2 linked regions of the Saccharomyces cerevisiae S288C genome follow. Changing the gene in region 1 together with any one later gene gives a genetic interaction. Each region holds a gene or a part of one and is shown on either strand. Other genes may lie near its edges. The genes, in order: ABZ2 and STB1.

Evidence for each region.
Region 2: mutations in ABZ2 (region 1) and STB1 together harm fitness more than expected from each alone (negative genetic interaction), as found in Saccharomyces cerevisiae (2 studies listed by BioGRID).

What each region holds. Positions count from the first base shown.
Region 1 is NC_001145.3:834,113-851,428, reverse strand, and holds ABZ2 (aminodeoxychorismate lyase ABZ2), read right to left. Parts: upstream 2,745-17,316; coding exon 1,620-2,744; downstream 1-1,619. Other genes in the region: ATP-dependent RNA helicase HAS1, read left to right, coding at 1-1,355; U2 snRNP complex subunit HSH155, read right to left, coding at 2,943-5,858; DSS1 (exoribonuclease II), read left to right, coding at 6,084-8,993; mitochondrial 54S ribosomal protein uL30m MRPL33, read right to left, coding at 9,227-9,487; NGL2 (RNA exonuclease), read left to right, coding at 9,738-11,285; ATP-dependent DNA helicase YKU70, read right to left, coding at 11,434-13,242; RIT1 (tRNA A64-2'-O-ribosylphosphate transferase), read left to right, coding at 14,562-16,103; AEP2 (Aep2p), read left to right, coding at 16,331-17,316. UniProt on the Saccharomyces cerevisiae protein: Converts 4-amino-4-deoxychorismate into 4-aminobenzoate (PABA) and pyruvate.
Region 2 is NC_001146.8:37,799-54,953, forward strand, and holds STB1 (Stb1p), read left to right. Parts: upstream 1-14,863; coding exon 14,864-16,126; downstream 16,127-17,155. Other genes in the region: YNL320W (uncharacterized protein), read left to right, coding at 1-756; HXT14 (Hxt14p), read right to left, coding at 909-2,531; cleavage polyadenylation factor subunit PFS2, read left to right, coding at 2,821-4,218; prephenate dehydratase PHA2, read right to left, coding at 4,273-5,277; ATP11 (Atp11p), read right to left, coding at 5,526-6,482; DAL82 (Dal82p), read left to right, coding at 6,649-7,416; tetratricopeptide repeat-containing protein EMW1, read right to left, coding at 7,510-10,224; RFA2 (Rfa2p), read left to right, coding at 10,489-10,495, 10,604-11,418; putative SCF ubiquitin ligase complex subunit SKP2, read right to left, coding at 11,599-13,890; ZIM17 (Zim17p), read right to left, coding at 14,109-14,633; and 1 more. UniProt on the Saccharomyces cerevisiae protein: Involved in the regulation and timing of MBF-dependent transcription in late G1 of the cell cycle.

The sequences.
Region 1 (17,316 bases):
AGGCCATTGAAAAGATGGGATTTACCACTATGACTTCTGTTCAGGCAAGGACTATCCCACCTCTTTTGGCCGGTAGGGATGTTCTTGGTGCTGCCAAGACAGGTTCTGGTAAAACTCTAGCGTTTCTCATCCCTGCTATTGAACTATTGCATTCTTTGAAATTCAAACCAAGAAATGGTACCGGTATAATTGTCATTACGCCTACAAGAGAGTTGGCTTTACAGATTTTTGGAGTGGCAAGAGAGTTAATGGAATTCCATTCACAGACATTTGGTATTGTCATTGGTGGTGCAAATAGAAGACAGGAAGCCGAAAAATTGATGAAAGGTGTTAACATGTTGATTGCTACCCCTGGAAGATTATTGGATCACTTACAAAATACAAAAGGATTTGTATTCAAGAACTTGAAGGCTTTGATTATCGATGAAGCGGACAGAATCTTAGAAATTGGGTTTGAAGATGAAATGAGGCAGATAATTAAGATCTTGCCAAACGAAGATAGGCAATCCATGTTATTTTCAGCTACACAAACGACCAAAGTTGAGGATTTGGCTAGAATCTCGCTGAGACCGGGCCCTCTTTTCATTAATGTCGTTCCTGAAACCGACAACTCCACCGCAGATGGATTAGAACAAGGCTATGTGGTATGTGACAGTGATAAGAGATTTTTGTTGTTATTTTCTTTCTTGAAAAGAAATCAAAAAAAGAAAATTATTGTATTTTTATCATCTTGTAACTCTGTGAAATATTACGCTGAATTATTGAACTATATTGATTTGCCAGTCCTCGAATTACACGGTAAGCAAAAACAACAAAAGAGAACAAATACATTTTTCGAATTCTGTAATGCGGAAAGAGGTATCTTGATTTGTACAGATGTCGCAGCTAGAGGGCTAGATATCCCTGCTGTGGACTGGATCATTCAATTCGACCCTCCTGATGATCCAAGAGATTATATTCATAGAGTCGGAAGAACCGCAAGAGGCACTAAAGGTAAGGGTAAATCTTTAATGTTTTTAACACCTAATGAATTAGGGTTTTTAAGATATCTAAAGGCTTCCAAGGTCCCATTAAATGAGTACGAATTCCCGGAAAACAAAATTGCAAACGTTCAATCACAATTAGAAAAATTAATTAAATCCAACTATTATCTACATCAAACAGCCAAGGATGGTTATAGATCTTATTTACAAGCGTACGCTTCCCACTCTTTGAAAACTGTCTATCAAATCGATAAGCTGGATTTAGCCAAAGTAGCAAAGTCTTACGGTTTTCCAGTCCCTCCAAAGGTTAACATTACAATTGGTGCCAGTGGAAAAACGCCAAATACCAAAAGACGTAAAACTCATAAGTAATTTCAGAGGATCAATTTTTAATGCTATTAATGTGTACGTGGAACCAACACAACCGAAGTATTCATCTTCTGTTCTCATCGCACTCCTTTTCCTTTCTCTGCTTCTCCACTGTATGTCATTTAAATAAATGTATAAACCGCTGTTTTCTGTTTGTTGTCTTCTACGTACGTTGTCTGTATCAACCTGCACATATTTGAGTATGTAAAATCATGATTTGTAAACTATTGTAAAAAAACTTCATTGATATGAAAATCTGTCGTCTGCTCAATATTTTGTCTTCACTGTTCCCTTTATGCATCCCATGACGCCATTGAAAAGCAAAACTTCGTTGCCAACGGTAAGGCTTCCTATATCTATATCTCCCTCTTCAATAAGGCCGAGCCGCAATAAATAATGACGCATTGTTCCGCACAAACATCCAGTTGCTAATCTTGGTGTCACATACTTTTTAGAACCGTTAGGATCTTTTTGAATTACAGCCACGTTTGTTATTGAACCTTCCATCAGCAGGCCAGATTTGTTGGAAAATAAAATTTCGCATTGCGAGACAGAAGAAGTAGGTTCTGAACCTCTTAAGTTATTTATAGCAGTTTGCATGCGAACTCTCGCCCTAGCGTAATGATCTCTTGAAGTGGTTTTAAAACTGGTGAAAGCTGATGCGTTCAATGGTTCAGATGAAACAACAACATCCCAATTTATTGTGCTATCAATTAAAAATCCATTGAGCATCGTTTTGATGAAGTATGTGGAAACACTGTCATAATCGGTTGTTAATTTTAGGATAGGCTCCATAGGCATTGGAATTGCCTCAATTCGTATATCTCCTGTCTTAGAGACAAGTACCCGCATTTTATAGCATTGCCTTTCGTTGATCATTTTTTGAATTTTTTCGTGATACTCTGAATTTCCTTCTTTACAATTAATCAAGTTTTCAACCAATAACTTCAATAAATCATTCAGAGACGTGCTGAAGTCAATTTTAAAGTATGATAATGCTATTCTTATTCTTTGGTATTGTTCATCTAATAAAAAAAATCGTTCATAAATGACTTGTAGCATATCTTCTACACGCTGGCACACAATGGTCTTGCAATCATGCTTCCAAGCATCAGGATGCTGAATATTTTCGAGAAGGTCACCGCCGGAATTAACCTCCCTTACTCGTAAATAACTTGAGTAATCCTCATTAATTATCTGCTGCCTAATATCTTCGTCTCTCAAACCTAATCGAGGGTCTGGAGTTTCAAAGATCTCTTTCTTTGACGCTGACTGGCGTGCAAAACCAGGGTCGTACCTGAAAGTGGCCAGAACCTCGAAGTTCGGATTAGCAACTAGGCCTCCTTCATCGTAACTTTCCATATCAGTCTTCCAATTGTCCATTAGTGACATCTATTTCTTATTATCCATGTCTCGCTCTTCATCTTTCTTTTACTCACTTTCACAAAATTTTTTCCTGCCCTTTTTTTTCCAATAGCAGGTTCTGTTTATATTTCATCATAATCTATGAAGGCATCGTGACGTGATGATATAGGTGTGTCAAGTAAAATATTCTTACAAGTTGTGGTTATTTATATGCTCTATATATATTCACAGAACTAAATCCAGTTCTTCTATATATTCTTCATTGTTGTCTGGTGTAACGGGGTAAAAAGGTACCATGGCGTCCTGGTACATTACGTACATGTTATTATACACCCTCCAAAATGCTTTCCTTACATTCTTCGCTGGATGGAACAATCCTGCCCATATGTAGTTCATGAATAGTCCAGGGCCAAGAGCTTGACTCAGTGCCTCCAAACCTTCTAAAATACGCATAATAGCATGTGGTGAAGTTTCAAAAATATTGGGTATTAGAAGATTCATTAAATGAATGAAGGCATCTTCGTGACCTGTACCTGAACAGTTTAAAGCTAAGTGGGTTATTACGTTCGACGCTGTCTGACGATGAACTAAATCCCTATCGGTGAGTGCATCTTCTAATAATGGTGTTATGAAGTATATGTAATCCTTAGACATGTTACCAATGTACTCAAACATGAATGACATGGCCTTGAGAACACCGTTTTGAACATTAGTCTCTGGTGTTGTGTATTCATTCATGATTACTGGCAGCACGTTGTAAGGACCACACACTTTAGCAACGATACCGATAGCAACAGCCGTGCATACACGTAACTGACGTTCTTGAACCTTTAAATTGTTCAATAACGCAACAAGAACATCGTGAGGTCCAATTGCTTCAGCAATGAATCCAAACGTGGCATTTGCTGATCTTCTTATTTCTTTATTTGTACTTTTCAAAAGTTCTAATAGTTCAAAACATATTCTCATCCATTCTTTAGGAGGTGCATAGGTAGGTGCTAATTTACCAATAAGTCCAACAAATTTGATAGTGTTTACTTCGACTTTTCTATGCTTGTTTCTTAAAATTGGAGTTAAGGTTGGTAAAATTTGATTAATAGGAGGTTGTAGTTTATCCAAATCCATTACGCTAGTAATACAGTACATAGCGTTGATTATAGAACCTAATACCTCTGGATATACTTCGCCTAAGGATTCATACAATATAATGTTCAATTTATTCAACATTTCGAATTCGTGACAGTTCTTGATGACTGGTATTAGTATGGCACATAGATCTGCTGCATGTTGACGAACCAAGGGAGTTTTATGCTTTAAATGATTTAAAATCGTACTCACAATGGGTGCTAAAAACGGTTTCATACGGATGTCAAGTGACACCGTCACTGCCCCAAACCCTTTAAAGATTATAGAATCACTATTTGTTTGTTCTTGAAATGCTATCAAGAGCGCATCAATAAGCCTCGTTTCTAATCTCTCATCTAAATCTGCTGTCCCTAATAAGTTTACTGTTCTAGTAACAGCATGGACAGCCATTGTTCTGAACGGCTCAGCTTCATCTCTCAATGGTGTTAATAATTTATCAATGGTATAAGAACAACCTAATTTCTTTGCTAATGTAACAGTAGTATATGTAACAACTTTGTTTAATGGTCTATCCAATGCCACTCGTCTGACCCAAAATTTTTGAAAGAATTCTGGCGCGATTTCTTCTCTCAGAAATTTTGGCGTTATGGATTCTACAGCGCTACATTTTTGTAATACTAAAAGAATGGTCTTTTTCATTTCATCATCGGGAGAGTCGAATTCACGTCTAATTATTCTCATTGCTTCTGTGGTATAATAACCGGCATACTCTGGGTCCATCAATGGGATCATAGATCCAACAGCTTTTAAAAAAGAAGATAGCACTTTACCACGATGACTTCTTATACCCTTCCATAATGGCTCCAGTACAACGTTGAAAACTTCGATACCATATGGATAAGAATTTTCTGCTAGTGTTGATAAAGTATGTGCTGTAACAATTCGCACCGGAACGTGATCATCCATTAGGCAGTCTTTGATACAACTCATCAGCCCAGTAAGATGATTCAAGACACCTATTCCCAAAAGTATACCTATTTGCTGCACAATTTTTATGCCAGTATGCCTTGCTTTCCAAGACTTCCGTGAGTGGCATGCTGCATTGATGAAAGGAAGCAATTGATTAACACCAAGGGCTTTTGCCACCACAGCCGCCGCTCTTGAAGTTACATTTCTAACATACTCATCCTCATTCTCAATATCAGGTCTCATTACTGTTAGAATGGTTTTTAGGCCAGCGACTGTAGACAGATTGGTGATTATCTCCTGGCCTGTTGAACGAACCATTGGATCTTCATCTATTAGCAATGGGGCAGCTACTACAAGTATTTTGTGAACGTAAGGTTTTGTTAAATCTCCTAGCTGGTAAAGGACGCGATCTATGGTCTTGATCATTAGATGTCTTTCCTGGTCTTCCAAACTTCTGTCTAGTAATATGGGCAATAAGCGGTTAAATATCATTTCTGGACCAAATGTAACAGCTTTATCGGTTAAAATCCGCATAGAAGTCCTCCTACTCGCTGTATTGCCATTTTTTATTTTCAGAAGTAACATCGACAGGGTTCTTTCTTTCTTTTCATCCTTATTTAACTCATCTATGGGTTTTTTGGATATAACGTCGGCGAAATATTTATGGTCAGAAGGTTTAAAAAACATCAAATCATGGATTCCTTCTACATTAACCAAAGCACTATCAGAGTTTTCTTTGACCGCTGTTGAAGATTCATCAGGTGGCTCGTACCCTTTTACATCCCAACGAGATTTTCTTTTCCTTGGCACGACAGCGTCTTGGGTATTTTCTGAAGACGTAACAGTTTGTGTATCGGAATCCGGCTCAAACTTCATATCAAACCTTCTTTTGTGGTATGAATCCTCTCGATTTTGCACTGTCCTAGTTTCCATTTTTTCCTGTAGCACATCTTTTTCGTTCTCACCAATACGTGCAGCTTCTTTCTGCAGGTTTTCCCTCAAATCCTGAGGAATAGAATATTGACCGCCTAATTGGTGGCTCTTATCGCTATTATTAGCGTTTACAAATTGAATCGGATGACTCATGATGACAGGTCCTGGCTTTCTATGTTTATTATGTATAAGTAATTGAAGAGATGTTTCAGTTCTAACTCATCGAGAAGGAGATTTCTGCTCGGGCAAATATCAATGCAAACCCGAATAAGCTTAAATACTAACAACGTGCCAAATAACAGCAATCACGTCTAAAAAGCTTTCAAGAGACGATAATTGGTTGTGCATATCTGTCAGCGGAATAAATAAAGACAGGTGATGGTAGTTAGGCGGAAAGTACATGTTCTTCTAATTGCAAGGAGCTTTCATTCCTACACACCTTGCTTCAGAGTAACTACCAGAGGCAAACGACAGCGAAGTAAGAGTAAGCAGCAAGCAAAAGTAGAACTAGATCACACACGAGAGCTAGATAATGATCAAGCTACAGAGACAGTTGTAGACCGTTCGGTTGGACCGGAGAAAGATATAGAATCAATAAACAAAGACTTTCTGCAACGAACAAAAGGATTAGAGCCTGATATTGAATTAAAACAACTGCCTCAAATTAAACAGGAATTTAACCAACGTTATAAAGATAGGTATGTTAAACCTTCCGAAGATTGGTACGTAAACTCCTGGAGGTCTTTAACAAAACCAAAAATTCCGCTTTACAAGTTAATAAATTCAGATTTTCAATTAATAACAAAACTGAAAGCTCCAAACCCAATGGAATTTCAACCTGTTCAGCTAATGGAAAGTCCCTTAAATGTTGGTGACTTTGTTCTTTTAAAAATGAGACCCAATGAATTGGCGATGTGTGTAAGTCTTCCAAGTAGCACTATGGATCCTCGATACACTTTTGTTACTATTGATGGAACTATGTGCTTTGCGACCAAAAACCGGGTGTTATTGAGGATTCCTCACAAATTACCTGCTGGAATCCATTCACTTATACAGCCTGAGAGCCATCACAAACATTTGCCAATTGGAACCGTTAAGAACTTTTCTAACCAAACGAATATTTTGCCTATTGTAGCAAGGCAGCTAATAACAAGTAGGTATCCAGCCCAAATTTCAAAGTTGGCCTGGAAAGATTTGCCCATTACTACCAAAAAATTACAGTTACTCCACAGATCATTACAAAATTATATGGGTCCATGGCAGATTCCTTTTTTTACCCTAGTCGGATTAGTTCAGAAATTGGATTTAAATAAAGCCTTGGACGATAAAAATGGAATAAATTACTTAACTAGTTTAGTTAATAACTATCACACTGTAAACGATATACCAATAAATTCACCTACCTTTGTTTCCACGTACTGGGCGATTATGCAACAACAGGAATCGAACCTTTGGGGGGAAATCCATCTGAATACAGCGTTGCTGTCGCCTATATCAGTAACGATTATTCCCTTAAAATCACAACATTTATATTATGCGCAGGTGATAGAGAAGCTAGAAGCCAACAGTTATAGAGAGGTCAATAAGTTTGTAAAATTGGTGAATGAAAGGAAATATCGCGATATATCAGCTTTATATCCTTCTGTGATCCAATTATTGAAAGATTTTGCTGCTGGGAATTTTCACAATAACGGAATTATAGTAGCTTTGATCTCAAAAATATTCAGAAAGATAGAACGCTATAAGGATTGTGACATCACAAGAGATATATGTCAAGATTTAATCAATGAGATAACACCCAACTCAATACCCAATCCATTGTTACTTAACATGGATTTAGCATTACCTGCTTCCTCGAAGTTAGTGAAATGGCAACAAAAACTCTACGACTTAACTAATATAGAAGAATTGCAATGGAAAAAATCCGGCACTGATGACGATAGGTACGATTTTGGCGATCTTAGGGTTTTTTGTATAGACTCTGAAACTGCGCATGAGATTGATGACGGCGTGTCGGTGAAAAACTATGGTAGAGATGGACTGTACACTTTATATATTCATATTGCGGATCCAACTTCTATGTTTCCGGAAAGCACTAATGTTGATATTGAGGGTATAAGTACAGATATCCTAAATGTTGCCTTGAAAAGATCATTTACCACATATTTACCAGATACGGTTGTTCCTATGTTACCTCAATCTATTTGTCACTTATCAGATTTGGGGAAACAAGGACAAAGGACGAAAACTATATCCTTCTCTGTTGATGTTAAAATCACTTCTAAATGCAGTGGAAAATCAATTGAAATTATGTATGACAGTTTTAAAATCCGGAAAGGCATTGTGTCCAACTTCCCAAAGGCCACTTATGAAGATGTTGACAGGATACTCGGTACACCCAATAGCGAAGCATCACCTGTCAAAAAGGATTTGGAAAGTTTGTCCATGATTTCCAAATTATTGAGAGAACAACGTATAAAAAACAGTAATGCTGTTATTTTCGGGGAGGGCTTTAATAAGGGCCTAGTGATGCTAAACGCCGATTCAGAAGGAGAACTGACTGAGGTAACATTTTCGGATCAAGAGGAGACGCTGTCTACCATTTTGGTTTCAGAAATGATGATCTTGGCGAATACTTTAACGGGTAGATATTTTGCGGAGAACAAAATCGGTGGTGTGTTCAGATGTTATAAACAGTTACCACTGGGCGAAGTAGCACAACAACAGTATGATTCTATGATAACAAGTACAAAAAAAGGAATTTTTCCCAAGCTAAAAGATATCGTTAAGCTTTCTTCATTGTTGAACTCGAGTTTTTATACAGGTCGACCTTTTAGACATGAAATGATTGGAGCTAAACAATATTTGACAGTAACATCCCCTCTTCGTCGTTTTCCAGACTTGATAAATCATCTACAAATTCACCGTCATTTGCAGAAAAAGCCTCTATGTTTTAATCAAACACAAATCGACAGTTTGATCTGGCCAATTCAATCTCGAGCGGATATTTTAAAAAGGGCTAGCCGTAATTCGTCGACGTACTGGACACTGAATTATTTAAAAAAGCTAACCAAACTAGAGCCAGAAAGGACTTTCGATGTAATGGTAACATCAGTACCGCAGAACGGATTTACTGGATGTGTTTTTCCAGACTTATCGTTCGCTAGAGGAACATTAAAATTGCATCCAAGTTCTATGCATTATCCGATGATTGGAGATATCGTGAAGAATTGTAAAATTTCAAAAATTGACTGTTTAGAAGGAATGTTAGAGTTGGAAAAGCTATAAAAAGGGACTCTTTTTCCAAATATAAAATTCAATAGACCATGCATAATTTTCTTCTTGTAAATATATACATACATAAAATATGAAATCGAGATAGTGTATTGATTTCTTTGTATCAAAAATTGCATAAATTACTATTAACATATGTGCCTATGCAGGAAAAAATAATACTATATACATATATAAGTCAGGAATATCAAGAAGAAAGGAAATCCAGTTGCCTTATTTTCGCTGTTTCAGTCGATGGTTCTCTTCTCCACTATAAACCCAGGGTTTGACTTTCTCAACTCTCGTTGCTGCGATGGTGTTAATTCATGTTCTGTTACTTCTACTTTGACTAACTCTTTTACTTTAGCTAGGGAGCCAGCTATGGCCGGGTTTACTTTTTTGTAGACTATGGACCCTCTTTTACCTAAACCCAAACTTTTGACAATGCTCTTCGTTGTGTGTGGCACACCGATAAGCGACCTACTCAACGTGACTTTGTAAAACACCATTCCTGATATCTGCTTTCAACGTGTTTTAGCTGGTCCATCAATATTGATTCCATCACCTAACTTTTGGGATGATATACTTTATCCTTAATATCTAGAAAAGCTCTTCGAGAGATATTTCGTGCAGAAAGACCATTCATTTTTCAAAAAATGGTTGCACTAAAGCAAGAGGAAAGGAAAAGTAGTGTTGCAAGAAGATGAGATTGTAGTCTCCTTATAGCTTCTTAATTGTAGTTAAGAGTATTAAGTAAATATGACACAAGACAAAGAAGTCAAAGTGGTTGCCCCAGATGTTGCGCCCGACCAAGAAGTAGAAATTAATAAATCTGTAAAAGATGCAAAACATCAAACCAATGATGATTCGTTACTTCAACATAAAAAGAAGGGCAAGAAAGGTAAAAAATCGAAGCCCATAGTGACCCCAGAACATATCGCTAAGGTTCGTGCCGAAAGGGAAGTTATGAGAAAGGCTAAAAGAGATGCAATGTTGGCTCAAGGTGTTGATCCGGACTGCCCGCCAGAGCTGCATTTTATCAGAAGACCTTTCCTATCTCTACATGAGGCAGAGCCAGTAACTGGATTTAGATTCAAGCTAATGACTTATAATTGCTTGGCGCAAGCTCTAATCCGCAGAAAGCTGTTCCCGGATAGTGGTGACGCTTTAAAATGGTACAGGCGTTCTAAAGTTCTCTTAAACGAGTTTAAATATTATAATTCCGATGTCATTTGTTTGCAAGAGATTGATCATATTCAGTTTCAAAGCTTTTGGAAAGATGAATTCAGTAAATTGGGATACGATGGACAATATTATAGAAATGCTACAAAAAACCATGGTGTCGCGATAATGTGGAGGAGAGAATTATTTCACCAGGTTGACAAAATGCTAATCGACTATGATAAAGAAAGTTCAGAAAGCATTTCCACTAGAACAACGACAAACAACGTGGGATTAGTCTTAGCCTTGAAGTTTTCTGAGAAAGTACTGTCGAATTTGGGTAAAAAATCGTCTAAAAAATGCGGTATCTTGATCGGCACTACGCATCTATTTTGGCATCCATTTGGTACTTATGAACGAACAAGACAATGCTATATTGTTTTAAAAAAGATGAAGGAATTCATGCATCGTGTGAATGTTTTACAGAACGAAAATGATGGGGATTTATCTCATTGGTTTCCTTTTTTCTGTGGTGATTTTAATTCCCAGCCGTTCGACACACCATATTTATCTATGACATCCAAACCAGTGCACTATAGAAACAGGGCAAAGACCGTCATTGGGTGCAGCACTTCATATAAGTTTTCCAAGGTCCGTGATGGCGAAGAAGGTGCAGATGACGAAGAAGGCGGGAATATTGAAAAATATGGTAAAGATCAACCTGAGAGCCCCGTTCCTGAAAAATTTCATGCTAATGAAGAACAGTCTGAACTCGTAGATAAAATGGCACAACTCCATAACTCATTGGATATGAGGGCTATTTCACTATACTCTGTTGGGTATAAGAATGTTCATCCAGAAAATGCAGGTCTTGATAATGATAGAGGTGAGCCTGAAATTTCAAATTGGGCAAACACTTGGCGTGGTTTATTAGACTATCTATTTTATGTAAAGAAATGGGACCCACAAAGTAATTGTCAGGAAGTGGAAACCCTTGGCGATTTTGAAAAAGAAAATAAAGTTAAATGCAGAGGTTTTTTGAGAATGCCGCCCGGTAATGAAATGACAAAGCATGGACAACCACATGTTGGAGAATATGCAAGTGATCATTTGTCTATGGTGTGTGATTTAGAGTTACAACTATAGATTACTGTCGTGCATAAATATCTTGCTAATAGTTGTACAGTACAACGTTTAGCACGACAAAAGTTCTTAATAATAAATATTACATCAAATACCCTACCCTACCAAATATTGTATGTAACGTTATAGATATGAAGGATTTCAATCGTCTTTATATATTGAATTTCGGCTTTTTATCAAAGGGCTTCTTTTCTTCTTTTATCGAAATGTTATCATCGTTAAATTTTTTGTAGAACATATTCCAGATTTTAACATATTTATTTAGCCTTTGGATGATTGGATCTTCTGACTTCTCAGATTCTAAAATTTTATTTCGTATATAATATAGTTTCCTTAAAGAATCGTCCTCACGCATCATTCTGTCTTTTTTAGTATTAGGTGTCTCATTTTCGTCAAAAGTGGTTTCAATTTGCAACAGGTAATCATGTAAAACTTTGTAATGTTTTTGTAATAGTGGGTTTTTGAAATCGGATGGGTTATATCCATCCCTCAAGTTAAAGTATCCCATTATACTTTGAGTTACTTTTTTCATGTTATCATAATCTAGTTTATGTTCAGAGCCATCATCATAGGATAGTAAACTAGGAAATTTTCGAATTTCGTCTAGGAATGGAACCCTGTAGAGATAAAATCCTTCGTTGTAGTCCTTCACGCTTGAGGGTGATAACGTATATAGTGAAGGATGTGAATTTGATTTAAGCTTCCCCCATAATATTGCAATTTTATCTTTTTTTCTCAAAATTTTTAATAAAGAAGCCAAGGTTCTTATCGAACCTTCATATTTTGCTTCATCTGGTACGATAAACGAACTTTTGTCTATGTTATTGAAATAGTGTATCGATTTGCTCGATGAACGGAACCCAATAATCTTCAAAAACGCATCTTTTTGAGTATAAGCCTCCATTACTATCTGATCTTGACTATCTGATAGATTGATATCGAGGTCACCATAAGGATAAACCTTGACAGTTTTACCAGTAACGTCTTCTCCTGTTATAGGATTTAAAAATTTTCTTTTTGAATATGCTTCTTGTCTGATATCTTCATGCTCATAAACAAGTTTATACCTGACTCCAGCTTTTTCATGGGTATACATAGTGTAACCCTTGACTCCGACTATAAAATTTGTTTTCTCATCCAAGATTAATGGACATTGAAACATTATCCTCTTTACCTCCTTTTTCCTTAGGATTCTGGACTTGATGTATTTAGCATCTATAGGCTTTGTACTTGGACCATCAAATTCAGAATCCAAACCAGTATTCTCATTTGTATGTGAACCCAACTGCAGTATGTCCGAATAAAACTCGTTGTCAAATGGTTTATCGGCATAGCCAATAAAAAAAGTTGCAAAATTCACTTTGTTATCAAATAAATCAATTGTAAGCCTTCTCAATCTTGCCCGTTCATCGATATCTTGCGCCTCTTGTGGTTTATCAATGTCAGTGAATAAGAACACTCTCTTGTTGCTTAATTGCTTTTGACCCGGAATCTCTTCCAAAAAAGTGTCAAGCATGAATGTGAATAATACAGATAAGCGCACTTGCTTTTCACTCCCAGTTTGTTGAAACATAAAATAGTCGTATAGGCTTATTCTCCCCGATGATAAATCTTCTAAAAGATCGTTCAATTTCTTCATAAATGTAGCATTTATATCCCTTAATGGAAAAAGTTCATAGATACCTTCCTTGGCATCCTCTCTGTTACAGTAATAAAAATAGCAACCAATAGCTGTCCCAGGTCTTGTTATGACCAATTGTGACATTAGCTCATCTAGTGATTCCAGAATTTCCAACAATGGTGATTTATACTCTAGATCAGAGGACTCTTTAAACATTGTCTCTGATAGTTCAATGCAAAACAAAATTCCTTCATGGATATCAAACTTCCTATAACCTGTTTCATCCACTTGATCGTTAAGTTCTCCACTATTGCCAAATGCATTAGTGACTGAGCGCATAATATTCCCGTTTTAAAATCAGGCTTAGAGTCACTTAACAAATCATAGCTTTACTGTTGAAAACTAGAACAGTAATACAGAGAATGTCATTTGGTAGCTACCTTAAAGCAATCCCTAATACATGAAATTGAGAATCTTCAAAAATTAAGGTAATCAAAAGTAAAAAAATATCTCCCGGGGGCGAGTCGAACGCCCGATCTCAAGATTTCGTAGTGGTAAATTACAGTCTTGCGCCTTAAACCAACTTGGCTACCGAGAGTCAATTAACTGATAACCATTCAATTATGAGTCCGTCTAATATCATGCTTATTCACAATTTTAATATAAGCAACCTTGCAGAAGTGACCTGTTGTCAAAACGGAATATCAACTTGATTGAGGGGATGATAATTATCCTATATATTCTATAAATATGGATTATACTGAATATTGGGTGAATAATTTGATAATTGTTGGGATTGCATTGTTGATCAAGGCTATATAATATTATGTACACAGAATATATTAGAAGTTCTCCTCGAGGATAGAAATCTCAAAATGGAATCTATATTTCTACATAATAAAATTACGATTATTCCTCATTCCGTTTATATGTTTCATTATCCTATTACATTATCAATCCTTGCACTTCAGCTTCCATTATACTTGATAACTATTTCTCAATCCTTATTTTATGTTTTTCCACCGCATATTATAATATGCCAGTAATATTTATTCTTATTAATGGTCGTTAATTTCACACCAGGCGTGTTTATAACTGAGTAATCACTTTAAATTTGAGCATCCGGTTTTGCACCGTTAATAGTATCATTGTTAATTAGTAGGCAGGTTGTAGTATATTCTAAGAATAAAACAGGTGCCCTTAATCTGTACAAGAGAAGAGTATGAAATATGAATTACATTGGGCATATCGACTATACGCAATATATCAGTAGCTTCGACGATTTAGGTAGGTATAAGGGTTTCCTATACCTGTATACACAAATTTCAAACTTATGGCCGAGCCAGATAGTCCTTTAGCTATGCCTTCCATTACTTCTTGGAAAGCTTGTTGCATTTCCCGTCATATTATGTACGGTTACAACTTTTTTGTTGATTTCCATGCCCGAAGGGAGCTTAGCATAGCCGCTATTACATAATCTTATCATCTTCATCAAAAATGAACTTCTAAAATCATCCCACCACTCTATTGCTCTTCATATATGCGTTGTATGTTTATGTGCTTTGTTCTTATTACTGCTTAACTGTGACTGGGCCCATTATTCATTGTTCATATGCAGGAAAAAAAAAGCATGCTTGAAAATTTTGATCTCTTGATGGATGGTATCGAGGCTATCAAAGAGATATAGATCCAGAGTACAGTTTAGTATATCCGTGATGGATGAAAATATTTATCTTTCGCTATCTCAGATAAATAAAGACATCAGAAAGGAAAACAAGTCCGTAAGGAATCGACTTCAGAGTATTCTTTTAGACAATAAATTTTTGCAAGATCGAGTTATCCCTATATTTCCCCATTATCCACTGATACCCAATGAAAGATGTGGGCTATGGTACTGTAATCCATCAAGTTTCAAACAGACCAGTTACTTTAAGAGCACAGACGGGCATGTCAACCAATGGGACTTTAGCACCCGAAGATTGAACTTTCATTTGTTAGAGACCATTCGAGATAATAAAGGTATTATAATTGTCGATAGTACTAGAAGAGGTAAAAAAATCCCAGATGCTTTGAGTAAGACTGTCCCCATATGGTGTGCTGTATTAAATACGTTAATGCTTCAGGAAACAGAAAAAAATGTTGCCATCGATAAGGTACTGTATCTTCCACCTGAGACAGTTCCCAAATCAGAATATGACATGATTAAGCGAAAAATACCCGAACTAGTTGCTAAACTACAAAAATTGAATATTATAGATTCTAAGAAATTGAACGAACTGTTTATGGGTAAGTTATTGCGGCCCATATGGGTTCACCCTGGTTCTTCACTTCTAGACCATTCTGTTGATTACTTCACGGGTGAAGTACAGGAGTATGAAGCCTGGGAAACACCTGAAGACCAAAACATAATACCCATTATTTTGTGCACGGTAAGCTATCAAGCACAAGATGGTATGGATAAAAGATACGGCTTCACTTATGTGCAGGGTGCAGCCGACGATCACGAGCTCTGGTCTTTTGGTTTGGATTCAAATATGTTTTGGGCCCATATAGAATACCTAGGCGACGCAAGTTATTCAGACGACCAGTTACATGATTACATCATGGATTTGGCTGCTGCAAAGCTGAGAAATCAGTGTTATATACAAGATAAAGGAAGCTTGGATGAAGTCTTTGGAAACATTGATAAAATTACGAATGAGATATCTCTAGGAAAAGTGAGTTCAGGCTTAACCATCAATAAGAATTTGAAACAGAAATTGAAGTCAGAATATGGTAAAGTTATAATTTTCAGTAATTCGGTGACTGTTGCTGAAGATACAGACGATGAAGAAGAAAGTGGGACAGATCCGTTTATTTCAATATACAAGTTGCAAAGCGGAGACAAGAAAAGTTCAAAAGCTTTACGATCCACATTCCCTAGAATCCATGGAGAAATTCAATCGTTGTTTACAAATCGAGATGAAAAAATAAAGCCAATGCTAATATGCTGCAATACAGGTACTGATATGTCAATCGGTGTCATCTTAAGTATCCTTTGTACCAAATATACTGAAGAATGGATGCTTACGTCGGAGTTACCGGACATCAGTAAGCTTATTGTAAGAAAACACTTGACAAAATTGATTTCCCACTTGAAAGGACGCAACGTTAACCCTTCAAGAGCAACACTGAACAGCGTCAATAGCTTTTTAATGTAGTGAGTTAGGCAATACTGAGATGTTTACTCGCAATGTCACTGTATATTTTAATATCAAATAACGTCAGTTTTTATTAGAAAAAGAGCGGGTTACCGTTTATCCTGAACAGAAAAGGTTCATTGAAAAAGAGCCCTTCAGACATTGGCTAATGAAAAGAATATGTAAAATCAAGAACAAATTAACGAAGCTCTCCTTCGTTAACAGTCCACTACCTAAATTTATGATTAATGTGGATAAATAGACTGGTTAAACATCCATCCTACAGTGTTCTGAGGTTTTACACGAAGAGGCTCTGCACTGTATCAGTGAAATCGCTGCGTGAATTTGGTGTACTGCCGAATAGCACAATATGTCATTCTGTCTATCCCCGAAGAACGTATGTAATGGGTAGGGCTGTCATAAATGATATTTTAATCAAAAAATCCTATTCAACTCACACGGTATGTGCAATTGATCGATCAAAAGATGAAAATAATGGGAGCGCTTATGACAAATTCGAGGCAAAAGGTATACCTATAGATGTTCACACATTAAAACGAATTATCAGCTCGAGTGGAATGGATGAATCCGAATTTTCCAAGAGTATAAGTTACTTATTCGCGAAAACCGTGGACCCTGAACCGAAGGATGTTCTGTCTTTAGAGGACCTGTCTTTTCTTTTGAGCAAACTATACACACAACGGTTTCAAATTAGGAGAATCTGTAGAGACATAAACGCTAAATATTCAGAATTTTGGTTCAAACTTTTTTCCTTATATGCAGAAAAAGTTGATGCCAAGAGAAACCAAGTTAACTTACGGAATACGAAACTAGATGCATGTGAAATATTTGATGCAAATCTTATGATCAAGAACTTTATAGAGCTCGGTCAATTAGGTAAGGCTCAAAAAATTTTAAGCTTTATTCTTGATAGAAATCCTGATATATTACTGTCTCCGAAAAATGCAGATATTAGCACAATAGTTCACTTTTTACAACTGCGTTGTGGCGCTTTGGCGCCTTATTGGAAAATACCAGATAATAGTGAGCAAAAACAAGGTTTTTTAAGAAAAATGGTTCGACTAGGTGCGAAAAATACGTCAATTCGTCTTTCTTCTACTTACAAAGCCATGGATCACCAAACATTATTAAAGATTGCTGATCTTGCTCTGCAGGAGAAAAAGCTTTTGAATTCCGAGGATTTGTTGTCCACTTTAATTCAATCCTTTGGACA
Region 2 (17,155 bases), on another chromosome or scaffold:
CCATCATGGGCTCAAGGCGCCAGGAATCATGTTGACACTCCTGATTCCCGTGGAATCCCTTATGAAAAGCTAACCCTAATTACACAAGACCACATTAAACTCGAGGCATGGGATATCAAGAATGAAAACTCAACAAGTACTGTGTTGATCTTATGTCCCAATGCCGGTAATATTGGATACTTTATACTAATAATTGACATTTTCTATCGTCAGTTTGGAATGAGTGTATTTATTTATTCGTATCGTGGTTATGGTAACTCAGAAGGTTCACCCAGCGAAAAGGGTTTGAAATTGGACGCTGATTGTGTCATATCGCATTTGTCAACGGATTCTTTCCATTCAAAGAGAAAACTAGTATTGTATGGTAGATCTCTAGGTGGTGCTAATGCTCTTTACATTGCTTCAAAATTTCGGGATCTATGCGATGGCGTTATACTGGAGAATACATTTTTGAGTATTCGAAAAGTTATCCCATATATTTTCCCCCTTTTGAAACGCTTTACGCTTTTATGTCACGAAATCTGGAATTCAGAAGGCCTTATGGGAAGCTGTAGTTCAGAGACGCCATTCTTGTTTTTAAGTGGATTAAAAGATGAAATCGTTCCACCCTTCCACATGAGGAAACTGTACGAAACATGTCCTAGTTCGAACAAAAAGATTTTCGAATTTCCACTTGGTTCACACAATGATACTATTATTCAAGATGGGTACTGGGATATAATAAGAGATTTTCTAATAGAGAAGGGTTTTATCTAAAAGTAATAATCAAAATATTTGATAGATTTATTTACTTTACTGTATGTAAAGAAAATGTGGTCAGTCCTCACGGCCACTTAGTTACTGATGGTTATTTATTATGGAAAAAAAAACTGCACTTTGCTACTTCTTCTATTTATATTATGTAATATCTACTCCGGTTCAAATATTTTATTGATCTCTTGCTCATTCTTTTTCCTCGTTTCAGGAACTAGTATCCAACTGAATATTATCAACGCTAATAGGCAAGCAGCAAATATGTATCCTAGTTTGAAATCAATTTTGGATACAATCATTGGTGTTAAAAGTGATATTAAGAAATTGAACATCCAATTGATAAATGTGCAAATAGCCATTGATATGGCCCTCGTTCTTAGAGGGAACAATTCGGACACTAGTACAAATGTAACTGGGCCCAATGTTATTGCAAACCAAAAAATAAAACAACAAGTCACGATAATTAAAACAATATTTGAGAAGTCCGTTTCTCTTCCAAATGTCCCCACAGTAGCATATGTCATCATATAAAATAATAAATTTGTTGAACCATATAATAAACATGTCTTGTGGCCCCATTTCTCCACGTAATATATGCCTAATATCGTAGAAAGGAAGTTAACACTTGACAGTATGATTGAAGTAATATAAGGATCCTTAATCCCGACACCTTTGAAAACAGACGTTCCGTAATAAAAGAAATAATTTATTCCGGACAGCTGTTGAAATGCCATTATCATCATACCAATAATCAGTCTCAACCATAACTTTGGCTTTCCCATAATAAATTCAAATGTGTTTCTTTTAACTAAGCTTTGCTTTTTTGATTCGTTGTTAGTTTCCTCATTATTATAGTTATTTTCCAGCAAATCATCGATGAATTCAATTACCATGCTATCCGTCGCAGGGATGCCATTCATCCTCGCAAAAGAGTATTTAGCAGAGGGCACATCATTTTTGATTTTTGCCAAGTACTGTGGAGATTCAGGAACGTAAACAAGTGACATTCCAATTATAATTGCCCAAATGTATCCCAAGAACAATGGCAATTGCCAGGCTATATTTTGTGTAGGATCTTTATAACATCTTTCGCATATGAAATTTAAAATGTTTCCCATTAGTATGCCAAATGTTACAATCAATTGATACGTAGATACCATGGAGCCTCTGATTTTTAGTGGAGAATTCTCGGAGAGAAACATTGGCACCAAGACAGTGGTTACTCCCACACCGATTCCCGTTACGGCTCTTCCCAATGTCAAAAAATACCACCTTCCATAGGAGAGAATTTGAATGGTTATACCGATGCAGTACACTACTAAGGCAAACCATATACCACCTTTCCTACCAATCCAATCACCGATTTTTGACAGAGTTAAAGCCCCTACGCCACAACTGATGTTAAAAATACTGATAATTAGGCCTATTTGCAGATCAGTAAGTTTCTTAGTAGATACAAAAATTGTTTCATCGTCATGGATAATATTAGTTGTGCCAAATTTTTCTTGAAAGCTAACCATATTTGTCATTCCACCGATGGTTCCAATGTCCCATCCAAAAATAAAGCCACCAAGCGAGATTACCAAGCACAATAAAACGGGAATATGCAGACTCGCATTGTGACTAATCTTTGCTGCTTGGCCTTCTATATTTTCTTCTTTATCATCTAGATACTTAATGGTTACATTATAATCCCTTCCCCTGCCTGCATCAAGCTCATTATTGTGAAAATGAGAGATGTATCCCGAGCTATGTTGATACGGAATCTGAGCAGTCATTTCTAGCAATAATTGAAGTACTTTACTTCCTAAGAATACGTTAACAAATTCTTTGTTAGTATTTCTAATTAAAAGTGGTTAATTGTTCTGTTAAACAGTATTCAATGTTGCTATTTGAATTTGTGTCATCATTAGAATTACTGACATTTTTATTTTCTATTTTTTTTTCTATTTTTTTTCCTCTTCTTTTGAGGGCCGACGTATCGATTTGTCAAGGGAAGTATAATTAAAGAAAGCACTGATATACAGGTTGCTGGGTAGATATTAAGAAGCTCAACATAGACACGTTATGGACGGGCATAATCAGAACCAGTACCAGAATCAGAATCAAATTCAGCAGTCACAACAACCACCTCTGAAGAAATATGTGACACAGAGACGATCGGTAGACGTGAGTTCTCCGTATATTAACCTATATTACAACAGACGACATGGATTACCGAACCTAGTGGTAGAGCCAGAAACTTCATACACAATAGATATAATGCCGCCTAATGCCTACAGAGGTCGAGATCGAGTCATAAATTTGCCCAGCAAATTTACGCATTTAAGCTCGAATAAAGTGAAACATGTGATACCCGCCATCCAATGGACCCCAGAAGGCAGAAGACTTGTAGTAGCAACTTATAGCGGAGAATTTTCTCTATGGAACGCATCTTCGTTTACGTTTGAAACCCTCATGCAAGCACATGATTCGGCTGTGACTACAATGAAATATTCTCACGACAGTGATTGGATGATTAGTGGGGACGCAGATGGAATGATTAAGATATGGCAACCAAACTTTAGTATGGTTAAAGAAATTGATGCTGCACACACGGAAAGTATTAGGGATATGGCATTCAGTAGTAACGACTCGAAATTTGTTACCTGTTCAGATGATAATATCTTGAAGATTTGGAACTTCAGCAATGGCAAACAAGAAAGAGTATTATCGGGGCACCACTGGGACGTGAAAAGTTGTGATTGGCATCCCGAGATGGGGTTAATTGCCTCCGCATCTAAGGACAATTTAGTAAAACTGTGGGATCCGCGTTCCGGAAACTGCATATCATCAATTCTGAAGTTCAAACATACTGTCTTGAAGACGCGATTTCAACCCACCAAGGGAAATCTATTAATGGCGATTTCAAAAGATAAATCGTGTCGTGTGTTCGACATTAGATACAGTATGAAGGAACTAATGTGTGTAAGAGATGAAACGGATTATATGACACTAGAATGGCACCCAATAAATGAATCTATGTTCACTCTGGCGTGCTATGACGGCTCGCTAAAGCATTTTGATCTTTTACAAAATCTAAACGAACCTATTTTGACTATTCCATACGCCCATGATAAGTGTATCACCTCGTTATCATATAATCCAGTAGGACATATATTTGCCACAGCAGCTAAGGATAGAACCATAAGATTTTGGACTAGAGCGAGGCCAATTGATCCTAATGCATATGATGATCCAACTTATAACAATAAGAAGATAAATGGATGGTTTTTTGGCATCAATAACGACATCAATGCTGTGAGAGAGAAGAGTGAATTCGGTGCGGCCCCGCCACCACCAGCTACACTTGAACCACATGCGTTACCAAACATGAATGGATTCATCAACAAGAAACCGCGTCAAGAAATCCCAGGCATCGATTCAAACATCAAGAGTTCCACATTGCCAGGTTTAAGCATATAAAAGTGCGCTTTGACGAGATTTTAGGATACATAAATAAAAAGACTATATAACATATTATTTGTGATAATATCTCTCATTTCTGGGGAATGTACCCCACAGGCACCACTGTTTACTTTTGTCGCTGATATCTTCATAGAATTTTTCTTTATTCTTTGGGGTATTCTTCTCGGTGTAATATTCAATGAAAAATAAATATCGCCAGTTTCTATCATGTTCGTCCAAATGGAATGGTCTAGAGTTTATAGAACACATGTTGAGTGAATGGATTTTTAGTATGTTCAAAACATCTACCAAAGAACCAGGGTCATCTTGACGAGTAGTAAAGGTGAGTAGGTTAACCCGTAGTAATCCAGTGTCTTCTACTTCATTGTCGCCTGCGTTCTCCCTTCTCTTCAATACTAAAAATCTTGTTGTATTTCCTAGCTTATCATTTATCGAATGTTCAATGATGTACGCCTTATGCAATTGGGCAGCTGTTTCACTAGCAATGGCTAAATGCAGAATGTTGTCGCAATCGGCCGTTGATGACCGAATGCATTGGTTCACTGATTCAGATGTGGAAGAACAATCCAATCTTATAAAGGTGACCTGCGGAAATTTTTCTGCCATGGACCTTAAGTAACATTCAACCTGGCCCCATACTTGCGGATGTGAGTGTATTATGACTTCTTCAAAATTTCCAAGGGATGCAATACCATTTGGTAGTTGGATTGGGCTGATTAGACAATGGGTAATGGGTACATATTGCTCCGCTATAACTTCTATATCTGGTGTAATTCTATTAGTATCTGCTGGAGCAGGTAAGGATAGGGCTTTTTTGATCATCCTATCACGCAAGAGATCATAGGAAAAAACTACTTGTCCATTGGTGGAATTTTCCAACGGTACCACTGAATAATCTATACTAGTGTCGTTCTCCAATTGGTTAAAACATTGGGGGATAGAGGCTGCTGGGAGGTACTCAACATCAGATGTTGATTGAAATTGTTGTAATGCAGCTTGATGGGAATACGTACCTTTGGGACCCAGAAAAAGAACCCTCAAAGTCTTGCTGGCCATAATTGAAGGATGAATGCGGAAATATAATGAAGTTGCTTTTCGTACTTTTTTAGCCTGTTCTTTCTGCGTATTATATTCATCTACTAAAATTTTTATTTTCATTTTTCATTATGAAAATACAAGAGTCATGCTGATAACTGTGTAAAGAAACTGTACGCTTGTCGCAGATGATGTAGTACGTATTTTATTTACAGGTGTCATTAATATATATATATATATATATATACGTATACGGAAGTAATTCTTCGTTAATTTTCCATGGACTGTGATAGCGAAATCAATTTCTCGACGGTGAATCCCGGAGAGGCCTTAGAGAAATCTCTTAACAACTGCACTCTCTGTTTAGCAACTGGAGTTTCTTCACCCATTGCACCATAAAACCTTTGCACGTTTAGCAATAACAGCTGTGCATCCTGTACATTCACGTTTGTATCCGGTTCAACATGGCCATTCATAAAAACAATTCCCTTATCCTTGACCAAATCAGAATGGAACTGCAAGGTAGTATGTGGCCTTGCAAATTCCTGGTGTAGTTTGTATTCTGCTAGGGAAGTCATCATACAATGTGTTGTTTGGGGTCCGACAAACTGCCATTGGATGTAGTGTAGTTCCATTCCCTGTTCTTCGTTCGGTTTTGCATCCTCAGATTGAACTTGTCTAGGAAGTGGCAACACGAATATAGGGTTATTCCTGGCATTTGCCATCATCTTATCATAAACGGAGACAGGAATCACAGCGCATAATGTATTATCTTTTTGTGCCCATCTTGCTCTCCAAAGAAACTCTACTTCCTGTTTCGATAAGTCCTTCAGTTTTCCAACATCCAAAAAAGAGTCCAATGTTTTGAAGGGAACTTTAGGAGCACTTGGATCGAGAGGACTTCTTGATTTCGTCATCAAATGCTTGGAGTTGTTATTTTCCATTTGAGTTTTTTGTTGGTAATCCTCTAGTTCTTTCAGGGGGTCGATTTTATTAAATTCCCGCTTCTTAGACTCTATAGTCTCTTTCAAATGATTTTTCAACTCTTCTATGCTGTTAAAACCTTGTTTTTGAGCCTCTTCCAAAAGTTTCTTTCTATACTTCTGCTCTGGGCTGGAAGAATAAAAACGAAAAACAGGAACTGTTCCAATTGCCTTGTTAAAAATGGGCGACAGCTGATTAGAAATATGGATTCTAGTGCCGATTTTTCTGGTTAGTCTCCACATAGTTATTCTTAAATCTCTTTTGTTCTCTATTTTCAAGTCTTGATAAGTTCTTCACATCCTTCGATTACGGCGTCAAAATAAGCGTTATTTCCATTCGGGTGAGTTGAACCATTGATAACAACATGGTTTAACGATACTTTGAAAGGTTTAGGCGGAGCCAACCATAATGGATGAATCGGTGGATCCTGTGGAGCTGCTTCTACGACTACTGATACGGCACAAACCTCATCTGAAACCATATGCCTACAGACAAGATAGCTGGCAAAGGGTGCTCGATGAGTACAACAGACAGACTGGGTCAAGATATAGACAATCAAGGACGTTAAAAACCAAATTTCGTCGACTGAAGGACCTCTTCAGCGCAGATCGAGCCCAATTCTCTCCTTCCCAGTTGAAGCTGATGGGAGCACTCTTGGACGAAGCACCAGAACATCCAAGACCAAGAACTAAATTCGGAAATGAATCATCTTCATCCTTATCATCATCTTCTTTCATTAAAAGTCATCCGGGGCCTGATCCGTTTCAACAATTATCATCCGCTGAACATCCGAATAACCACAGCTCCGACGATGAGCATTCAGGCTCACAACCGCTGCCCCTGGATTCAATAACGATTGGAATTCCGCCTACTCTTCACACAATCCCCATGATTCTGTCTAAGGATAACGACGTCGGGAAAGTCATCAAAAGCCCTAAGATAAACAAGGGTACAAATAGGTTCAGCGAGACAGTACTGCCTCCACAAATGGCTGCTGAGCAATCGTGGTCGGACTCTAATATGGAATTGGAAATATGTCTAGATTATCTTCACAACGAACTCGAGGTGATAAAGAAAAGGCAAGAAGATTTTGAGTGTAAAGTTTTAAACAAGCTCAACATAATTGAGGCTCTCCTTTCACAGATGAGACCACCCAGCCAAGGAGATAAAATATAAAAACTTCTATTAGATATGCTTGATTCATGTCCATATGTATCTATTTATACAAACATTACGTAATATACACAGATTATACATGAAAGGTGCTCTTCATATTTGGCTTCTTGCTTCCACTAGCCTATCCCAACCAGGAGAGTCATCCCATCTGCCTTTGCCTTTACTCATTAGAGCTTTGATAGTAGATCTACATTTGTATTTCCAGTCTTTGCAAACCAGACTGCCTGGCCCATATTTACCTTCCATTTCACCAAGTGATTCATAGGCAGCCACCAAATCTTCACAAGCATCCACTGTATCATTCCAAACCTTTTCTTCAACTTCTAAATCAGGATTGTGAGAAATGGCCCTATAAGCCTTCTCGTGGCATTCTAGGGCGGCCCATGGTCTCTTCCTCCAAAGTTCTACTCTTGCGACCAGTCGCCAACATCTTGCACTGGTTGTAATTACCTGAGGTAAAGTGTTACAGATAAACTCAGTACAGCTCTTTTGAAAATAAGATAATTGCTGCGGCTCCTCTGGATATTCACTAGTCACTAATAGTTCTACTAGTTTTTCAATAATTGGTAAGTCGATGGAACCTTCGCCAGATTTGTCCCTCCTAATACTGACTAATTGTTTACATGCAGTTAAGACATCCTCCCACTCATTCAACTTAACAGCAACAAGCATGTAATTCTCCCAAATTTTCCAGTTCTTTTGAGCGTCACATGAAATGGCTCTTTTCAAACAACTATAAGCTTCTTTCAATTTATCCATTTTCGTATATGCAGCGCTCAAATTTGACCATGAAAGAGCATGATAAGGGTCTAATGAAACACATCTGGTAAATGCCTCCGCAGCTATCTGCATTTTACCACATTGTAATCCAACGCAACCATAAAAATACCACGTTTCAAAGCTTAATGGGTATTGCCTTAACGAGTCATTTAAATGTTTCAAGGTAGCAGAGTAATTTGGTTGTGCTCCAGACTTTGGAGGAGGATTAAAGTAATACTTTGCAAGGGAATTTTTTGCGTTGACGTATTTTCCAATCTCCCAACTTTTTTCCCATAGGGATGGATCCTGTTTTATATCACCCAAAATGGAGTAAGCCCTGGCATCCGAATCATTTTCATTTATTCTTTGAAGAAGGATTTCTTCTGCCTTTTTTTCATCTCCAACAGCGGCATAACATAATGCAGTCTCGCATGCCATACCAAGTCTTTCATAAATTTCCACAGCGGACTTCAAAATACCCAGCGACATATATTTTTCAGCTAAGGTGGCATCCAATTGCCACCTAGGGATGAACGGCAGCTGGTGGATGTATGACAGCCTGCTAGCAACATTGATTTCGCTTGAACTTGGAACCAATTTACTCTTAATCTTCAAATCCAATTCTTCTACGAGGGATTGCATTTGTAAAAGTCCTCTTTCAATAGTTTTAGCCTTTGTTGTCTCAATAATTGACCTTTCCCATAATGATCGGGCGAAAATAGACCAATTTTTGTCACCGTTTTGATATAATATTCTAGAAAGCAAAGCAGTAAGTTCTTCTTCCACAAGAGGATCCTTGGCCGGAGTTGTGTTCTTTATGGTGTAAAGACGTAACAGCAACTGGATGTTGTCGTAATCAGATAGGGTAGGTTGATCGTTAGGGTTCAAATCCAGCAACAACTTTGGAATATTTTCTTGACGTAGTGCCAATGGCAATAGTTTATCTTCTTCATAACCTTCATTTAGGTCTACCTTTTGTCTTTTACTATAAATTTGCTCGTCTAGAGGTTCATCAGCAATGGACTCAAAATGAGGCTTCTCCAATAATAGATCGGACTCTAAAGCAAATGTTTCTGGTGTAGCAGATGTCGTTCTCAAAGCAAAATTTTGAAATGTGAAGGATTTGGCAAGAATGATCAAACCGGCATGAGCCTTTTGCTGATATTTAGTTCTAGTAGCGCGTGCACCCGTCATTACAAATTCAAAATTTGTTATCTTTTTCGCTCTGGTCAAGGATGGCAGGCACAAATGTTCTGTGTTGATGGCCAATGAACATTTGACATTCTCTAGATAGTACATTGCACAAAGTTCTCTTTTGAAATCTTCGTGAATACTCTCCGGTAATTCCTTAGTTATCGCATATGCAAGGTCAGCAGACTGATATATTGCAGATGCAACACTAGCTTGGAACCCAGAAGGTTCTGGAATCAGTGACAATTGCGTCAAAAGAGCTCTTGCCCACCACCAATAAGCTACAGCTAATAATCCAGGAGTAGACTCAGCAGAGATAATAGGTAGCGGAATTTCTTGATCCGGGGTAACATCAAATAAGCTTTTTTGGCCGGTTATCCTTTCAAGTAATAATAGTGATAAAACCAAATACAATGGATCATCCATAAATTCGTAGGCAGGCTGGCCCATAATGGCTAATGAGCGGGAAAGGGCTGTATTAACTGCTCCTATTTCAATTCCAGTTTTGCCAAACAAACCTGAGATTGCTTTCAACCTAGCTGCTGGGCCGGTGTAGTTATTTTGAATAAAGGTCTGTAAGAGGGCAATAGCCAAAAATAGCATCTCATTTTCTTGGCCCATTTTGAAAACCTCAACGTTAAGAAAGTCATTTAGAGCAGCAATAACACTAGATGTGGATATTTCTCCCGAAATACTAATTTTTCCCTTAAATTTGTCCACAAATTGCTGTACTAGCTGGTATGATTCACCACTGATGATATGTTCAGCCTTTTTCACATATGTCTGGTCGAAAGAACCACTTTTCAGAGATTCTACTTCTGCAGACAGCAATAATTTTGCATGCAATAACGTCTCCATAATTTTGCAACCACTAGTTTACTTTTTGCCTGGTCTGATAGCTTCTTTTTAGCAATTCCTTTGGCCTCGATGAGCTTCCATTTTCAATTTTCATCTTTTTTTTCACGATGCGAAGTTTCTTAGATAATTATCGCCATATACGAAACGCGTTAGGAAACGCGTTCTTTCCTTTATAATAAGCAATATTATATCAACTTAAGGTGGAAGTAATGTGGCAAAATCGATAGCGACTATCTAGAACAGGCTAGTTTAAGCATATACATAATGGCAAGTATGTATTAGTGCTAGGAATTGGAGGATTTGCTCTTTTCTGCATCATTTTTTTTATTTTTATTGGCGAATGTTAAAATTACTAACAATGGATGGGATTCCAATACAGCCTATCAACCATATAACGAATATTCATCAGTAACGGGCGGTGGCTTTGAGAACTCTGAGTCCCGCCCAGGTAGTGGGGAGTCGGAAACTAACACTAGAGTTAACACCTTGACACCTGTGACGATCAAACAAATTCTAGAGTCCAAACAGGATATTCAGGACGGCCCCTTCGTTTCGCATAACCAAGAACTTCATCACGTTTGTTTTGTAGGTGTGGTGAGAAACATTACAGACCATACTGCAAATATTTTTTTAACTATTGAGGATGGAACTGGTCAAATAGAAGTGAGAAAATGGAGCGAAGATGCAAATGACTTGGCTGCCGGTAACGATGACTCTTCTGGTAAAGGTTATGGTTCGCAAGTCGCCCAACAATTTGAAATTGGCGGTTACGTAAAAGTTTTTGGTGCTTTGAAAGAGTTTGGTGGTAAGAAAAATATACAGTATGCGGTGATTAAGCCCATAGATTCATTCAATGAAGTGTTGACGCATCACTTGGAAGTCATCAAATGTCATTCCATAGCCAGTGGAATGATGAAACAACCTTTGGAGAGTGCATCCAACAACAATGGGCAATCATTATTTGTCAAGGATGATAACGATACATCTTCCGGCTCCAGTCCGTTACAAAGAATTCTAGAATTTTGTAAGAAGCAATGTGAGGGCAAAGACGCTAATTCATTCGCTGTTCCCATTCCATTGATCTCGCAATCCTTGAATTTGGATGAAACTACCGTCAGAAACTGCTGTACGACCTTGACTGACCAGGGTTTTATCTACCCAACTTTTGATGACAATAACTTCTTTGCCCTATGAAAATATATAGATTATTTTTTTAGCATTTCTTAGTATTCGTTTGTGTATTTCTACTAGGTAAGTACCAAAATTTGCCGGAAATAGAGTGGAAAATGGAACCCGTTCCAAGAAGGGGTAAGATGCATGAATATTAAGTTGGTTGCATAAATATGCTATATAAAGTCCACTACAAAAAGTCATTTATTTTTGCCCGTAAGAATAAAGAACGAATCCGTCCTTATCTCTGACTTCAATGGGAACATTTACACGCAGTACGGGCTTCAATAATAGTTCCCAGTCGTATCTGGTTCTAGGTGTACATAATGAAAAATGTCTCAGCATTCTTATTTTGACAGCTTTGAATTTTGACAAATTTCTCAGGAAACACCAGAGGTTAATATTTGGAATATCTTTAAAATTCTCTGGATCTTGGAAATCATTGAAAAAATTTTCCAATGTCACATTTTGTAAGAACTCCTCCACATCTAAATCTCTATATTCGATGGTTCGGTTCTTCAATTTGATTAAACTATCTCTTAGGCAACGCCTTACAGAGTTGTTCCAATAGTAAGTGTGGTGAATGTCTGATTCAGGGCTCATTACTGTACTTAAATTTGGAACTGCATTAGCATTTGGTATGTTATCTCTTATGGAATTATTTTCGTAACCGATTAATGTTTCTTGATCGTTCTCGTCGCCAACATCCTCATCTGTCTCATCAACACTAGTAATTGTTCTTGCTAGATGTTCCCAAAACGATAGAGGGGATAAAGGATACACATTGGTAAAGGGGATATTGATTACGTTAATAGAAATATTTTTACTTGGAAGTCTCTCCCAAAGTAAGCGGTAATAATGGTAGAAAGAATGAAATTCAGGGATTCTTTGTCGTTGAAAATTTTGTAGCTGTGCCGCAGTTAACATGGCGGGCTTTTTGTTATTGTCTGGTGATGGGTTATTTGAAACATCATTTCCTGTAGTTCTAGAAATATAGTTCAGATTTAAGGACAATACAACTGAAGATGTCGGCGGAGGAGTAATTATCTTCGAATCTGATGGCGCTTCAAATAATGTTTCTGTCATGGAATTGCAGTCATCAAAATCATCTTCTGTATCCAAACTTCGCTGTTGGAAATAATATGATTCGCCGACTACCTGTTCGTTAGTGAAACATTTGCTATTACAATCAATTGTTAGATTGGATAACGATGGGAAACAACTGCATAACAATAAGTCGAATTTACTGTTAATCTTCAGTAAGGATAGATGTTTGACCATTTTAAAGTAAGAGTGAAACAAACGTAATATTCCATTTCCAGGAACTACATCACATGAATCTAAAGTAAGTGCAGTGATAGGAGACTGTAAACTGTACAGTTCATTATCTTCGTTCTTTAGAAATAGTGGTAAGAATTCCATTGGAGTATCTAGCGATTCGGTGTCTATCGTTACATTTTCTAGTTTAAGTTCATTAATTATGCCGAAACAGCAGAATAAACTCGGTCTTAGTACGAGCTTTTGGTGATGGCGTTGACGATTAAAGGTTCTTTGTCTTTTATTATTAGCTTTGATTTCCAGTATTTTCAACCTTGGCAGAGAATAATACTTGGATTCGTATTCTTTGACAAATTTTTTGGATAGTTGGAAAGTCCTCAAATCTTCGTTTGTGATGGATTGCTGGCCCTTGATTATTTTCTTGAAAAAATCTCTAGATCCATCGTTGAATACAGAGTACCATAAAGGAATTTTAAAATTCGGTTCCACATCACTCAGAATCACTCTGGTCAGGTTCGGTAGATAGTCTATAATATCAAGCATTAGCTCAATATAAGTATAATGGAAGTAGTTGCTTTCCAATTTATCAAGCAGTTTGATTCGTTCTGAAGTTATGATGGGAGTCTCATCGTTTAGTCTGATGTTATTCAGTTTTTTTACGTCTTTATCATACGAATCGAGTTTATAAGATCCAGCAATAATAGAATCTTGGCCACTCTTATTATAGAACTTACTGTATTTTAACAACGAGTCTTGGGACTGAGGATTTTTGAATTCGATGGATCTTACGAGGAACCTTGCATTTTGTGATCTAGATTGTGTGCTACAATCACCGCTGTGTGTGACAATGTTCGACGTGTGGAACTCGGAGTGTATCAAAGCATTGAACTTTAACAACGAAAGTTTTGAGTCCAAAATAACGTTTTGGAAAAGGAACTCATTCGTAATCAAATTGTAGAACCTCGAATTGACTTGGCATAGTGTTACTAATGTATTGAAGTCCAAAGTTCGCAGTATTAACAGTAGAACTTTTGTTGGCAAACACATGAGGGACGATTTATCGTTGAAGCGTAGTGATCTCGATTTGATATCATGGCTCGTACTATGTAGAAGGCTTTTGGCATCAGCACAGCCCTCTTCCTCTTCTTCTTCCTCCTTCGCAGCACTGGAGACCAGCGAGAAATATTTTGATCTACCAAACAATTGCAACCGTTTCATGATTCGGTTGGTTTGAACGTTTGAAAATGCGGTTCAACTTTTCATATCTAGCAGTGGCTCATCTTTATGTACTCTAGTCCTAAATCTTCTGCTGGTTATCGCAAAAAAATATGTGATGTGCGGGTTTTTGGCAGTAATCATGACTCAGTCTCTGGAAAAACGTGCTATTTAACGGTTATATATCTATCTATGTACATGCCTGTGCATGAGCTCTTCATTCATTTCTGGGAAGGGTGAGGGAGCTGGGATGCATTTTCTGAGTTGTTCTTGGCATATTTTCCCAGGACGTCCTTTAGCGAATCTGGGATGTCTTCAAACTCCAAGTCGCCCACGTCTTGGCTAACTTGTTCTCCGTTAGCTTTCATTAACTGTTCCACGGTAACATGATGATCATGGAATATTTTCAGATGGTCTGCTATCAAATGTCTCACTTTGCAGTGCGGACAAGAGATCAAGACAGTACCTTTCTCGTACGCCTGCTTGGACATTGTGTGTGAAGATCGGGTGTTACATTTCTTGCAGGTGAAAGCTATCATCATCTTAGGCTTGTCTACCTTAAAAGACCCCAAATGAACCTTCTTATCGTCCTTTTTCACTTCATTATGTGCGATGATATTGGTATGCAACGCTGCTGCGGGTAGAGTACGGCACACGTTGTAGCGTACGCGAGGCGCCCAACATCTGGCAAAGTACCTGGTAATTGGTATTTTACTTTGCAGTAGTGTTCTAGTCCTCGGAATCATGTTCAGTCTCTTGATATTCCAGTTGCACCGGTGCTGCTTTAGTATCGCTGATCCCTTGAAGCCAACATGACGCTCTTTCACCTTTCCTCTCATAATTTTGATATCACGCGAAAATGCAAGAAAAAAAAATTACAATTATGAAGTGCAGAAGGAACCAAAAATATCATCGAAAGAAGGAGTACGTAGAGCGTTACTATTTTCAATCAGTGTTCCCATTGTGCATACAAGAAATGTCTCAACCCCAGATGTCCCCTGAAAAAGAGCAAGAATTGGCCTCCAAGATTTTGCATAGAGCTGAGTTGGCTCAGATGACGCGTCAATTAAAGCTTGGTTTAAGTAATGTCCCATCAACAAAACGAAAACAGGACTCTACAACAAAGAAAAGAAGCGGAGAGGATGCCGAAGATGTTGATGAGGACCACAAAACTCTTTTGGAAGCCATATCGCCTGCGAAAAAGCCTCTCCACGATGATACAAATAAAATGACTGTTATATCGCCCGTAAAATTTGTAGAGAAGCCAAATACTCCCCCAAGTTCACGCCAACGAAAAGCCGAAGACCGCTCACAGCAGATCAAGCCTAGGAAGGAGGACACTCCATCTACTCCGAGGGCTTCTGCTACACCTATAATCTTACCACACGCTTCGTCACACTACCAGCGCCCCCATGATAAGAATTTCATGACGCCAAAACGTAATAATAACAACAGCAGTAACCATAGCAATAACAATAATAATATCAAGAAGAAGGCAGCAGGCTCTAAGGATGCTCCACAGGACAGCGACAACACTGCGGGCGCTGATCTCTTAATGTATTTAGCCACAAGTCCATATAATAAGTCATCACATCATGGAACACCGATGGCCGTAAGGATGCCCACTACTCCACGCTCTTATCATTACGCGTCGCAATTGAGTTTGAACGGTAATACAGCAAGCACATCAAACGATGCAGTAAGATTCTCTCATATCAAACCTTCAGCGTCTTCTCCGCAGTCCACTTTCAAATCTAATCTGTTACCGAATTTTCCGGACGAATCTCTCATGGATTCTCCATCACTATACTTGAGCAATAATAACGGTAGTGTCCAGGCGACACTATCGCCACAGCAGAGAAGAAAGCCCACCACAAACACATTGCATCCACCTAGTAACGTACCTACCACGCCTTCAAGAGAATTGAACGGTACCAATTTTAACTTACTCAGGACGCCCAACTTCAACATGGGAGACTATCTGCATAATCTTTTCAGCCCTTCACCAAGGGTCCCCGCCCAGCAGGGAGCGTCAAACACGTCAGCTTCAATTCCTTCTGTTCCAGCGATGGTGCCCGGATCATCTTCCAACACTTCTGCGATAGCAACAGCTGCTATATCAAGCCACACCACAAACAATTTTCTAGATATGAACGCAAACGGGATCCCGCTCATTGTAGGACCCGGCACCGACCGTATAGGCGAAGGGGAGTCCATTGATGACAAACTCACTGATTGATCGTTGACGGCCATATCAGTTGATGATTCCATACTTCCTGAAATGGACCACTCAAAGGGACAAAAATGACAAATGTTGAAATTATAAAATTACATATTAATACGTAAAATGACATTCTTTTTTAGGGAAATTCGGAGATAGATTATCACTATGTAAGCTTATGTATCGTAATATACAGGGCCGATATTTCACCTAGTTTACTTTTTCTGGTGGCCTTTATGTTTATGACTGTGCCCCCTCTTGTGTTTGCTTTTAGAGGCTTTCTCTACAGGTATCAGTATGGTGTCCTCATCCTTCTCCCCTGCCTCTGCTTCGACTGGAGCTAACCCATTTTCGTTCTTAAAAGTTTTCTTCCTCCACTCTCTTAATCTTCTTGCCTTCATCACTTTCCTTTTATCCTTCGCTCTTAGTTCCTTGGAACGATAAGGTGCAAATTTCTTCAAACCAATAAATTCATTTAAATCAGTATCATCGGCGGCGAAAATCTCTCTTGCGGTCAAACCGAAACTCTCAGGAGAAACTTCACGGTAACGAAACTTCAAATCTTGCTCCTCTTTTGTACGGCTTCTACTCTTTCTTTCTTCTTCTTCTTTTTCAACCTCCTCTATTAGTGCTAGTTTGTTTTGTTCCAAAGCATTTTCCACTAATTCATTTACCTTTCTCTTTTCTTTCTTCTTTTGCAGTTTCTCTTCTTTCTTGCTCTTCTTTCTTTTTGGACCTTCTTCCTCGTCTTCTTCTTTTTGTTCTTTTTCCACTTCACCTTCTTCTGTTTGGTCATCACCATCGGCGTCTGCATAAAAGTCACCCATTATTTCGTCATCCTCGTTCCAGGTAGGCTTTCCCTCTTGTTGATAAAATTCTTCATTAAATAATTCAGCTACCACGTTATCCCACTCTTCTTCTTTGAAATCGTTCTTCAATAGGGTGTCAGTGATTTTTTTCACCATGTCGGCATTAATTTCAGCACCATATTCCTTTGTTAGTTGCTCTAAAATGTCAGTCAATTTATTCAATTTTTTAGTCTTCTTT